Linked DNA regions of Tribolium castaneum. The protein of the gene in region 1 purifies or fractionates together with the protein of each later gene. This does not show direct contact. Links are inferred from orthologs where the notes say so. Each region holds a gene or a part of one and is shown on either strand. Other genes may lie near its edges. The genes, in order: NELF-B and negative elongation factor A.

What was found.
Region 2: the proteins of NELF-B (region 1) and negative elongation factor A purify together in Homo sapiens (affinity purification with mass spectrometry; 8 studies listed by BioGRID and IntAct, counting the BioPlex papers as one, with this or other methods). This does not show direct contact. The link is inferred for Tribolium castaneum from reciprocal best matches to the Homo sapiens genes NELFB and NELFA.

The regions. Positions count from the first base shown.
Region 1 is NC_087394.1:30,667,818-30,674,065, reverse strand, and holds NELF-B (negative elongation factor B), read left to right. Parts: upstream 1-2,136; 5' UTR 2,137-2,306; coding exon 2,307-2,423; intron 2,424-2,479; coding exon 2,480-2,578; intron 2,579-3,959; coding exon 3,960-4,751; intron 4,752-4,765; exon of another isoform or gene 4,766-4,805; coding exon 4,806-5,213; exon of another isoform or gene 5,214-5,265; coding exon 5,266-5,613; 3' UTR 5,614-5,681; downstream 5,682-6,248. Other genes in the region: uncharacterized protein dikar, read right to left, coding at 458-719, 767-1,396, 1,455-1,543, 1,614-1,641; pn (exopolyphosphatase PRUNE1), read right to left, coding at 5,687-6,240. UniProt on the Homo sapiens protein: Essential component of the NELF complex, a complex that negatively regulates the elongation of transcription by RNA polymerase II.
Region 2 is NC_087395.1:19,626,281-19,632,528, forward strand, and holds negative elongation factor A, read left to right. Parts: upstream 1-1,769; 5' UTR 1,770-1,813; coding exon 1,814-2,023; intron 2,024-2,155; coding exon 2,156-2,410; intron 2,411-2,461; coding exon 2,462-2,639; intron 2,640-2,689; coding exon 2,690-3,034; intron 3,035-3,082; coding exon 3,083-3,402; intron 3,403-3,464; coding exon 3,465-3,791; 3' UTR 3,792-3,999; downstream 4,000-6,248. Other genes in the region: intermembrane lipid transfer protein VPS13B, read left to right, coding at 897-1,083, 1,135-1,703. UniProt on the Homo sapiens protein: Essential component of the NELF complex, a complex that negatively regulates the elongation of transcription by RNA polymerase II.

The DNA.
Region 1 (6,248 bases):
TAACAAGTGGTTATAATTAATTATATTTACTGTTCTAATTATCATATTTCAGAATATTCTGATAGGTTATCTGTGTGACTAATGAATCAAAATACCTGAAATATTCTCGGAGATAAGCAATAAAACGCAAATTAAAACAAGACTATAATTTGTAAATTTCCTGGTCTCCTGTTTTAACTAATCATGGGATCATATAGTGTTATTTATAAATACGAATAGTAGTAAGAAATTCATAAATCGGACCATTTTTATTCGAAAAGGTAGATTTTTAAATAAAAGAATATTAGATACATCAATCAATTGTTTAATTAATATTCTTGCGTTTTTTTAAGTTTCAAGGTAAGTTTGTTTTCTTGGTAATTCATTATTTTTAGCTTATAAATAAAGTTTTAATAAAAAAGTCTTAGCTATAGCACCTTGTACATCTCAAGGTTACAATTGATAATTTCGTATTTACCTTTACTGTTAGAGGAACTTGTTGACAATTTTCTTTGTCTTCCTTTGGACTTCTTTTGTCGCGTTTTAGTCCCGCCCATCTCATACCGTACTTCAGAGTCCTCACTTTGGCTATCTTCGCTCTGCTCTTTAAGTCTGTTACTTCTCTCATAAGCTTCTTTTCTCTTGATTTCCAAATCGCGCTTTCTTTGTCTTTCTTCCTCTTCAAGAGGATTGGTTTTCGGCGATTCACACGTTACTTCTTCTTTTTCAGTTGTATTTTCCTGTAATAATCTCTTGTAAAAAAATTAAATAATTAACTTCTTACTACTTTTCTCAAACGTCGAGAAGTGCGTCTCGGTTGATTTTCCAGCAGACGCTTCCTGGCCAGTCTTTCCTTTTCCCGGAACAATCTGGGCAATTCAGGCAAGAAGTTCTCACTTAAAGTACGATGTAACTCTCTTTCACACTTAGCAGTCGATTTTTTAAATTTCTTGTTAAGTTGAAACCAATCGTCTTCAGTGAAACAAATAACCTGCCACACGGATTTCTTCTTATTATTCTTGGTTTTAAAGTCCTCTCTGTACAGTCTAGTACCGTAAAAATACCAGTAAGCAGATTCGTTACTGTCATAACCCAGGGGCTCAACCCTCAAGCTGTCTGCTTCTAAATTTTTCAGCTGGTCAAGCACATCATCAGCATCTAAACGAAAATCACAGAGTGCATGTAAAATGTCCACTTTTGTTCTCAAAGGTAACAATTGGAAATCAACGTCTGTGTTAAATGGGTTGTATTGATCATGTTCCTGACATTTCTGGCGAAAGAGACGTCTCAGGAACATCTGATAATTGAACGTTGAGATTTCATTGTTCGGCAAGCACCCACTGAGAAGCCTCACGATCAGTTCTTGAAGCCAAGAGGTTTCCTCCGTCCCATCAGTCAAGAGAGCCTCCTCCAAATCCTAGATCAAAGCAAAACGAATCAAAACCCGAACGCAGGAATTGTTTGCGTGGTTTTACCTCGATATCAAAATCCAAAAGGTTAAATGCTGTTCGAAACAATGAACAAAAATGTGCAATGCTTGGAACCTCCCACCATGATTGAATATCTGAAACAACGGCCAGAATTAGGGAAAACAGCACTTGAGAAGCCAAATCGGCGAATTTCCGTAAACACACCTAGGATGCTAATGAAAGTTGGAAACATAACCTATACGGTGATCAATACATGTAACGTTGTTAATTCACATTAATCTCGACGAAACTCCCCAAAAAGCCATGAATTAACGAATTTACGACTCGAACGGCGGATAACCAGCCACATTTAGCGCACTATAGGCCTTTGGGTGTCAAAAAGAATGCCATTTCTTCAACAAGCTTTGATAGGCTTCCCCCAAATCTGCGTACTAGTGCAACCTAGCGTCTATTTCTACGTCACTTAACGTCGTCACACTCGGCGTAATTTACCGCAAAATCACCGTAATTCCGCCAATTGCCCGATATTACACAATGTAAACATGCTCCTAACGCATCGCCGAAAATTCCTGACAACTGTCAGAGTCACTTTGAAAATTCGCCTTTTGAAAAACCGGAAGTTATTAGAATAGTGCTGCTTTTACCGCTTCTTATTGTATTTGACGTCGACCAATCACAGCGCAGCATTTTAAATAGGTGAAAGACCTTTGTTTTGTTTGACGCTTTTGACAGCAAATGGTGTGTTTTTTGACAATATATTTTCATAATGGGTTATGAAAGCTGTGTGTTTATATTTATTGAGATGTGTAATTGTAATCTCTGTGATACTAACACCGAATTTAAGTGATAAACTGCGTCGATTTGATGTTTTACTAGTGTAAGGATTCGTACTGCAAAATGTCTTCATCCAGAAACGATTTCCCTTTGGAAGCCCTCAATATACACGGGCCCACCTTCCTCAAACATGCCTTAACTAGTTGCACTGATCCGCTCAAAGCCATTGAAGAGTTTCAGGTACTTTTTGTCATGATTTTATCCATAGATTTGTAAATAAATTCGCTTTCTTATAGGTTACAAACGGGATACTTTTACCCTCATTACGCCCAATGCTTCCATTACTTGATCTACACGGGGTGAGAAGACTGGATTTTCACATGTCAGTTGTAGAGGTAAAGTATTCTCATTAAATATTAATCCCCTCATTAGTGGCAATGTCTGATGGGTTGGACTTTAAAGTTCACTAGAACTGGCATCAATATATTTGATTTTAAACAAACCATACACAGTAATAATGTTCAATAAGTTTCGTCAGTGAAGGGGAAGGCGTATACCTACCCAAAAATAACAAATAAAGAAAATTAAAACTAAACTATGTTACGGTCAATGTGTAAACTTGGCTAATTTGTACACTAGCTGGTTAGTTTGCAAACTAATAGAAAACCCAGTTTCAACTAAAATAGCTAGATAGTTTATAAACTATCCGATTTTTCTTAGTCATTTTTCTATTGTCTATGTATTTATTTTTTTAATAAAAACCACAGATTCAGTTGTTACGCCTGGCTCATATTTTTTAAGAAATCTTTACAAAACAGGGATTTTTCGAGGGATCATTATACCCCACTCTTTCCTAGTTTTCCTTATTTTTAGCATTAAAATCTGGCTCACATTTTAAAAAGGACATAAAAAATAGGGTATTTTTCATAAAAAATCGACGTTTTAATAGCTAAAGTGGGCTTAAAAACAAGTTATTTTTCCATTTTTGTGTTAAAACGACCTCAATGGGTTGATTTTCAAACTCAACAAATTTCAACGACTAAAACCTGAAAATAATCGTCTCATTTTCCTAAAAATTGATGTTTCAGGAAAATCTGAGTTAGAAAAAAGGGTAAAAGTCAAATTCAACGTTGTTTTTAATGTTTTCATAATAATAATTATGAAATTTAAATTAAATGTTGTTTTGAATGTGATTATTACTCGAGTACATCCCGAAAATCAGATGGTATTTAATGTATCATGGTTTTACTTAATAAGAATTATAAAACTGTTTATAATTGCTTTTATGGTGCAAACTGTATGAAAATGCGCTCAGGAGTTGGTCGATAATGTGACTCATTTTTGGTTGGTGTCTTGTTTCGTTCATTACTCCATAATTTACAACTGGATTTATTGATTTTCAATTAAAATGTATTAACACCGTATTTCCTTATTCAATTGTTGTGATTTTTTTCTGATTGCAGTAATTGTACTTTTTTTAAAAACATTTTATTGTTTTTGGCTTTAAACCGCATTGTTACGAACAAAAGTTTTGTAATAAAACGCAATGTTGGTTTACATTCTATTAGATACATAAATAAACGTGTAATCTCACAAAACCAACTTTGGTAGTAAAACGTCAAAACATAAAGTGTTTTATGTGCCCTCATTCAGGTCCAGCGAGATAAGTTTGCCATTCATGTAGACATAAATTCCATTAGTAAAAAATTCCCGAATAAAGTTCCCAACTCGCTGTATTTATTTCCCTTTAATGAAAAAATTACGATGTTGGTTCAGGAACTCCGAGAGAAACTAATCGCACACATCAATGAAATCGGCAAGCAAGAAGGACGCGAAAGGGACAGGAAGCTGAAAGATTTACTCGTAAAGAGTTTCCCTGTGGTCAAAGTGAAGGCTTTAAGGCCGATAGTGATGGCGATTTTGAAAAACACACCACAGATTGACGACAACTATTTGAAAATATTAGTTAGAGATCGGGAACTGTACAACGACACTGACACAGAAGTCAAACGGCAGATCTGGAAGGACAACCAGTCGCTCTTCGGAGATGAGGTCTCGCCTCTCTTGAGTCAGTACATCAGCGAAAAAGAGAACGTGCTGTTCGATCACACCAACATCAGCACCCAGTTCTTCGGGCCTTCCCCCAAGGTGCGGCGCCAAGGGGAAGTCGTCCAGAAGTTGGCACACATGATTGGAAACAGTGTTAAATTGTACGATATGGTGCTCCAGTTTCTTCGCACTTTGTTTTTGCGGACCCGAAACGTGCATTACTGCACTTTGAGGGCCGAATTATTAATGGCCTTACACGATTTGGAAGTTCAGGATATAATTTCGATAGATCCATGCCATAAATTTACGTGGTGCCTTGATGCCTGCATTAGGGAAAAAAATGTCGACATTAAACGCTCAAGGGAGTTGCAAGGGTTTTTGGATAACGTTAAGAGGGGCCAAGAGCAGGTGCTGGGCGATTTATCAATGACTTTATGCGACCCCTACGCCATTAATTTTTTGGCCACGTCGGCCATAAAAATCCTGCATCATCTCATATACGTAGAAGGGATGCCGAGGGTAAATAATGAGAATTTTCGAAACAAAATTATAATTTTTATACGAATATTTTAGGACAATACGATTTTAATTTTGCTCTTGCGAATGTTGGCTTTGGGTCTAAGTGCCTGGGTCATGATCGACTCCCAAGACTTCAAAGAGCCCAAACTGGACAGTCAGGTCGTTACGAAATTTTTGCCGGCCCTAATGTCGCTCATGGTCGACGACCAAGTGCGGCAATTGTCAGGCAAATTGCCCCCAGATGAACGCGAAGCTGCTATCACAGTTATCGAACATTCGGGGCCCTTGCCCGATGCAGTGGAGGCCTACATTCAAGACAGTTCAGTCGCCAGTATTCTCGCCATGTACTACACCCTGAACGTGGCCCGGCTTAAAGACAGGGTGGGGCTGCTGCGAGTCTTGACGGTTTTGGCGAACTGTAAAGACGACCGGGCTTTTGAGGACCCGTTCCTCCACTCTCTCGTACGTGTACACACATTTGTGTTAATTATTTGCAAAGTTGTGGTTTCCGCAGGTCATTTTCCTTATTCATAATCCGGAGGAGTTTCAAGCTGAGGATTTTTGTACTGTTCTCTTCGACGAATTCTTTTTTGCTGGGCTGACGAGGGAGAACGTGACAAGACATTTACTGAAATTGCTGTGGTATGTACATTCCCGACTGCCGGCTAGTCGTTTACACACGCTGATGAAAGCGCTGCAACCGACGCACCAACACAGCGAAAAGGTTCACAATTTGTACGAAACGCTTCAGACTAAGATTAATTCGCAAGAGGAGACTGCTGTACCTCTTGAAATGGATATTGACCTCAACTCGCCTCTAATGAGTGTGCCAACGCCTGCTCCGTATCACCATACGTTATGAAAACAGTGGTATTTTATAATTTTGTAGAGTGTTATTTATAATTTCGTTTATTAAAGACTAACAATGCATTTTCCTATTTTTGGCATTGTACAGCTGCATCGTTTACCAGAGGCAGAATAAATTTACGTGTCAATTTAATATTGCCCTGTCCGAAACACACAATATTCTTACTTTTTACAGAAGTCTCGGTGAGTCGTAAGTCATGTTTACTGTCATTCAAAATCGAGATTAACGTTTTTTTAAACGTGGAATCGGTAGAAAAAACCGCAATGTCTCTTTTAACGTCGCCACTAGCGTCAATCCCAATTAAAACAACACTGGATGTTTTGAATTCACTCGCGAACGCTGCAATAGCGCTATCTGCATCCTCACGACTTAAATATTGCTCAACCAACATTGGTAAACCCGGGATTGGGACACCCTTAACCACTTTTAGGTCTCGGTAGAGTAAATCTTGGCTAGTCAGACTAGACGTATCGTTGTGGATTTTCCACAACACGTTGAACAATTCTTTCCTGGTTTCGGTTGGTTTAAGGATGTTTTCCAAGTAATGTGCAACTTGAAGATCATCCTCGAACGTTTTCCCACTTTCCTTATCAAGTCCGATAGTGTCGTAAATAATTGTAGCTATAAGA
Region 2 (6,248 bases), on another chromosome or scaffold:
CTTCTTTAACTGTGGTGGAACAAATGTGTACACTATCATTCCCTAAGTTATCTATGCGTATAAGTTAAGAACCTGTATTGAGATAAATATTATTTACAGTCTTCTAGAAGCTTAATTTTCTCGATTTTTTCGTAATATTTACTTTTTATTTTCTTATTTGTTTATTGTGAGCCTGTAACTATTTATTTCAAGAATTTTTTCGAAATGGTCAAAAAATTACGTTCTTTTAACTAATTCGTAAATAATAGTAGGTATACCAGTACGAAAAGTTGAACAGTGCTAGTCTACATACAGTGCTGGGCAAAAGTATGGATAAAACAAGCGTTTTTGCATGAATACAAAAAATAATTTGTATTATTAAGACTGTTAAAAATGTGATCATTTGTGAAGAATATTTTTTTTATAAATTCCTTTTAATTTTACCGATACCGTTTATGAGTTATGCAAAATTTAATTGTTTTAAATGGAAGTCTACTGCGACCATTTTTTGGTTAAAGATTACTAATTCAATAGTATTGTTTAAACAAGTTATTATTTTAATAAATTATTAAAGTTGCGTTCTGAGCTCATCATCAGTACATCACTCATTCATCAGTCTTTACCGAAGAGGTTGTTTTATTTATTCTCACCTTGTTGGGTGCACAAATAGTGGATATTACCATTCCATTGTAATAGACTAATGGAATACAGTTTAAAATAGATCAAAGAATGTCTTGTTACAGAAAGCTTTTTAGAAATTTTAAATTTCATTTCAAAATTTTATATTTTTTACCATTTTGCACAGGTTTTAAATAAGTAATTATGTAATTACTTAATAAGTTATCAATTCTTATTTGATGTATGTGACTAACTGATTACTGAGCTGGTTACAACCTATTACAAAAAAATTCTGTTAGGGCTTGACGGGACTCGGTATCAGTCTTTTGGGGGCTGTTGGAGGCATCGCCCACCACCCGCTTCAGAGCATAATGGCCGATGGGGCATCACCCAGGTCACTCGCAGCGGGTGTCGGATTAGGGCTAGTGGGAGTCTTAACTAAGCCTTTGAGTGGAGCTGCCGAACTGGTGGCGTTGACTGGTCAAGGTATAATAATCGTAAATTTACAAAACTGACTTAAAAAAATTAAAATTGTAGGATTATTGCAAGGGGCCGGGTGGAATCCCCTACCGCAACCTAGGAGTGACCTGGTCAAAAACCTGAATCTGTTAGATTCAAATTCAATGTTAAAATACGAATGGAAGTTACTAAGCTCGCTGACTTATAAAAATGTGCTTTTTGCGACTGAAGCAACGATGTTTAACGATTCTGAGTTCAAAGGAATTGGGTTGGTTTTGGCACCCGATGCTTTGATTATTGTGAATCTTGATGATGATAATGTGAAACGGATAATTAGTTTGGGGCAAATTCAAGTCGTTGCGAGTGATAACGACCCGACTTATCTATCCTTCAGGATTATGAAACAAAAGTGTGAGGAGGAGTGTGTGGTCGAAATGGACCCAGCGTCGAGGGCTCGAGTCGCCGATTATGTAAGAAGTACGGCAAGTTTGTTACAACTACCCGAAGTTAATCAACATTCCGTAATCATGGACGATACCAACGAACAGATTAATTGTTATGTGAATCCGCAAAATCGGAATTATTTCGTTTGCCTGCTAACACTAGCCAAACAAATGAACAGCAATTATAATTTTCCTGTGTTATAAACTGTTAATAAAAGTATGAAACTAAATGAGTGTTTAAATTTCCCGCTGTATTGTTGTAGTGCTTTGAGTGCTAGTCAGCTGGTTGTTGGCAGCACCGTTCCAAACGCAAAATGGCGAATGTGCGTGACAGCGATACGTCTTTATGGTTACACAATAAACTCGGAATTTCGAACGATTCCTGGACGGGGGGCTCAATATGCTCGCAATTGAACGCCGAAGTGTTACGCAACATCAAAGACTGTTTTCCCGATCTTCAAACCCAAGTGAAATTAAAGCTTTTGTTGAGTTTTTTTCACATCCCGCGCAGGAACCTCGAAGAAGTATGTTTACAAATAAAAGCCCCCACGGTTTCCACTTGTCGTTATTAACCCCTTGGTTGCGCCCCTTTTAACTTTGTCGTCTAATAAAGTTGTTTGAGGTTATGGCGTACTCACTTGCTACTTTGTTTTTAGTGGAAGTTAGAGCTGGAGCAAATCCTCGATGTGGCCGTCGCCGATTCGGAATTGTGGGTCGCGATGTTAGCTGAGGCTTTAAAAACGTACCCTTCAACGGGGTCCCTAAACACAGAAATTTCCGACTTGGACGAAGTGAGACCCATTTTCACCGATTTAGTTACAGATCTTCGGAAACTGGTTCGCAAACAAGCTGAGAATGTTATGCTACCCATGGAGTGCCACTATTTAAACAAATCAGCCCTTGTCTCTGTCGTAAGTCTCTGACATGTGTCACTTGTCACAATCACAACTTTTTTTTGTCAGGTTGGCCATAAACCAGAGCCTACTAAACACTTCACCATCAAAAAGAAACAAAAATCGGCAATTTTACGAGCAGATTTATTACAAAAATCTTCAGATGCGGCCTCAAATCTCAAAAAATCATCAGCTCCGGTCATTCCAGTGCGCTCGAGAGGCATGCCGCGCAAAATGACCGATACAAGTATGCATGATCGTTGTTTATTTGACAGTTGGTAGCATTATTTCTTGTAGCACCCCTGAAAGGAATCCCGAGTAGAGTCCCGACATCGGGCTTCCGCTCCGGTGCATTAAACAACAATATAAACAATCGGCCCCCATTGGCCCGCCCTCCAGCCGGACGCAAAGAAGGCGGAGTCAAACTCTTGGACATAGCCGATCAACCACTTGGCTACGCTGCGGCTAAAAAACGAAAGAAGATGCAAGAAATTGAAGACGCGAAGAAAAACACCGAAAATGCTGCCTTGCAAAGCCCCCCACCTGTTTCAGGCACGACCACCACTCCCGATTATGCAGCCGGTTTAAGCTCCACCCCAGCCTACGCGCCGCCCACGCCACAGCCCATCCTCGCACCAACCAGTAATTATTCGAATTTGAAGTTTGTTGTTCCTATTAATTTTTTTCCAGCAGCGTCTTCCATTTTAACAACTGCGGTAACAGCACCGGTAACTACGGTTACGACAGCGCAGGTGGCAACGCCGACCGTGAAACTGGCAACAGTGGCGGCGACACAGTTGCCAACTATGCGGCCTGTACCACCCCTATTGGCAACAACGCCAAGTGGGCAGAGGACGATTTTGACCGACCAATCGGTGAAGGCTGTCGGCCAAGTGTCAAATATTGCGATTGCGCAGAGGACGACTCAGGCCACGCCCACTGTGACGCATATCAGGATCCAGCCACAGACGACGTCGAATGCTTTGCAGAGGCGGGGCTTAGCATTAACGGTGGGTTTTTGATTACGAGTATATGTTAAAAAATTCTATTTTTTGTTTTTTTTTTTCACCAGAGGGAGCAAATGTTGGAAGCTCAGGATATGTTCCGAACTGCGAACAAAGTGACAAGGCCCGAGAAGGCGTTGATTTTGGGTTTTATGGCAGGGTCAAGGGATAATCCCTGTCCTCATTTGGGGAATATTGTCACTATTAAGTTGTCAGAGGATCAGGAAAATGTGTTGCAACCTGACGATACTTACCTGACTATGGTCGCAGAGACTCATTTCCAGATGAATTATAATAATGGAGAGTGGAAGAGAATCAAAAAGTACAAACATATTGATAATGTTGTTAATCAGATGCCACAAAATACACCAGCTCCTGCTGTTATTGGGAATTAAGAAAATTTTTTTGTTATTTATTTAACATAGGAATTGTTTTTTATTATGCTTCGTAAGAAAGAAATATTTATTTACGATTTTTAAAGTTTAAAAAAATCGAATGTAACGTTATGTTAGGTAAACAGTTTGATAAACTGAACGTTAAGTTTGTTGTACATATTTTGTAAATATTCTAATTTGTAAATAACTGAATAAAAAGCTACGCGCATGTTTACTTTTTTTTAATCGTTTGGAAAACGAACGAAATACAATGAAACCAACCCAAATCCCAAAATTTTGTAACATAAAAAAACTACAGGGTGATTCAAGTGTGTCGAGTCATCTCATGGATAAACGGCATCCAAAGTTCGTATGACAAAAACTTGTTTAATTTTTTTCTTTAGTAATCACACCATAGTCATCGTTTGCTATTAAATACTTTATTTTTCTCTTTATGTGATTTTTTGAAAATTTTTCTACAATTCCTTACAATTAAAATTAATTAATACTGTGTTGCTAAAAAAAAATTGGACATTCTGAAACATCCGCTTGAGTGTTTTGTGCAAGAATTGCGCAAAAGAAAAAAGCGCACAAGATAATGCTCACACAGAAAAAAGCTCACGGAAAAAACTCACATAGAAATAATCGCACTTAAAAGATACCTCATATGGAAACAACTCCAGACAGAAAAACAGTCCACACAGAATAACACCCACAAAGAAAAAAACTCACAAGAAAAAAGCTCACGCTAAAATTAACTCACTGGAAAAGAAATCTCTGTACCTAATCGTGGATAGATTTATAAATTTATAATTATTCGGATAACAATAAAAATATTTTATAATTTGAGAATCAGTTTTTGTTACTATTCAAGGAAAAAGTAAATTAACATATTCAAAAGTGTAACTATTCAATTTTTTTTTAGACAAAGAAACTTAATTTTATGTTGTAATTTTTTTGTTTTACTTATAAATTAAATTTTTTTTTAAATTGATTTCAGCTTTTCGGCGTATAGCTTAAACGGTACCTAAACCTATACTGAGTGATCTCTCCGCATTTGTCATTTTTTGCCATAATTTGTTGAAATCTTATTCACGCAAATTATAAATACCTATCAACAAATTATCCCGTAAGTTAGGGAATGATTTAGCAAAAATTTGAAGTTGAATGGGAAATAGGAAAACGCATCGTAAAGTAAAGTACATCAGAGTTTTTTCAAAAAATTGTTTTGGACCTAAATTTTAAGAACCGCTGAACCAGAATGATAAAAATTAGCTTGTTATTTCGCTAAAAAGGCCTTAAATTAAAAAAAAATTCGATAAAGGTACCTCGAGAGCGTTAAATGATAAAACGTTTACAACTGCATCACCCCGCAAATATTACAATCGACTCATTTGAAACGGTTTAGTTTTTTTTTTTTTCAAAATAACTAAGTTTTCGAGAAAATTGCTGCGATATTCGAATTGCTATACCCGGCTATAGCAAACACAAATACTTTTCTAACAATGATCATTTTAACAGAATTTAGATAATTGATGCAATCTCTATACGAAAGCGGAAACAAAAAAAAATGTTCATAACAATAACTGATAAAATTATCCCTCTTCTTTACGATTTCTGCAGGTCTTGGAGTGTTGAAAACCGCAACCTATATTATCAAAAGTGCACAAAAAGATGCCATAAAATGATTTTTTTAATCAGTTATGGAAGTGGAATAGGACAAACAAATAGTTTATTTACGAATAGGAACTAGTGGGCTTTCAAAAGAACGTGAGTTTTTATCCGTGTGGGCTTTTTTTGGTGTAGGTTTCCTTTCATGTGGGGTTTTTTCTTTGTGGGAATTATTCTGTATGAGCTTTTTTCGTGTGGGCTTTTTTCCATATGAGGTTTTTTCGACGTGGACTTTTTTCTTTGTGGGCATTTTTCTGTGTGAATTTTTTTCTTTGCGGGTTTTTATGTTTGTGGGCTTTTTTGGGAGCTTTTTTCTTGTGCGCATTTTTCGTGTGGGCTTTTTTCTGGTCAGCGGCGAAGGAGTATAGAATTGGAAAATTAGTTAATAATTATTATAATTGTTACAAATTTTGTGTGTAACGAAAAAAATTAATTTTACGATGTAATAAAACTCATCAAGTACCTACAACAACTTTATAACATTTTGTAAAATTCTTATTTGTTATTTTCACTATTTTTTTCCTTTCTCGTGTGTAAACGAGACGGTCAGTGTTTAATAATTAGTTTGTATTCATAGCAACAATCTTTATTGTTGTTTAAAATTGTTTAAATTGTCCGTTTCTATCACAACGAAAATAGCTCGGTACTTTTATTTTTGTACACAATTAAATTAAAAATAAAAATTAATTATGGAGCTCTGCTAGCTGTTAACTGTTAAAATTATCACACATATTTCTGATACACCTGTAAACTTGTAGCTCGTCCAGTTGTTTCAAATTTTTAAAAACATTAAAAAAAATCGCTTTC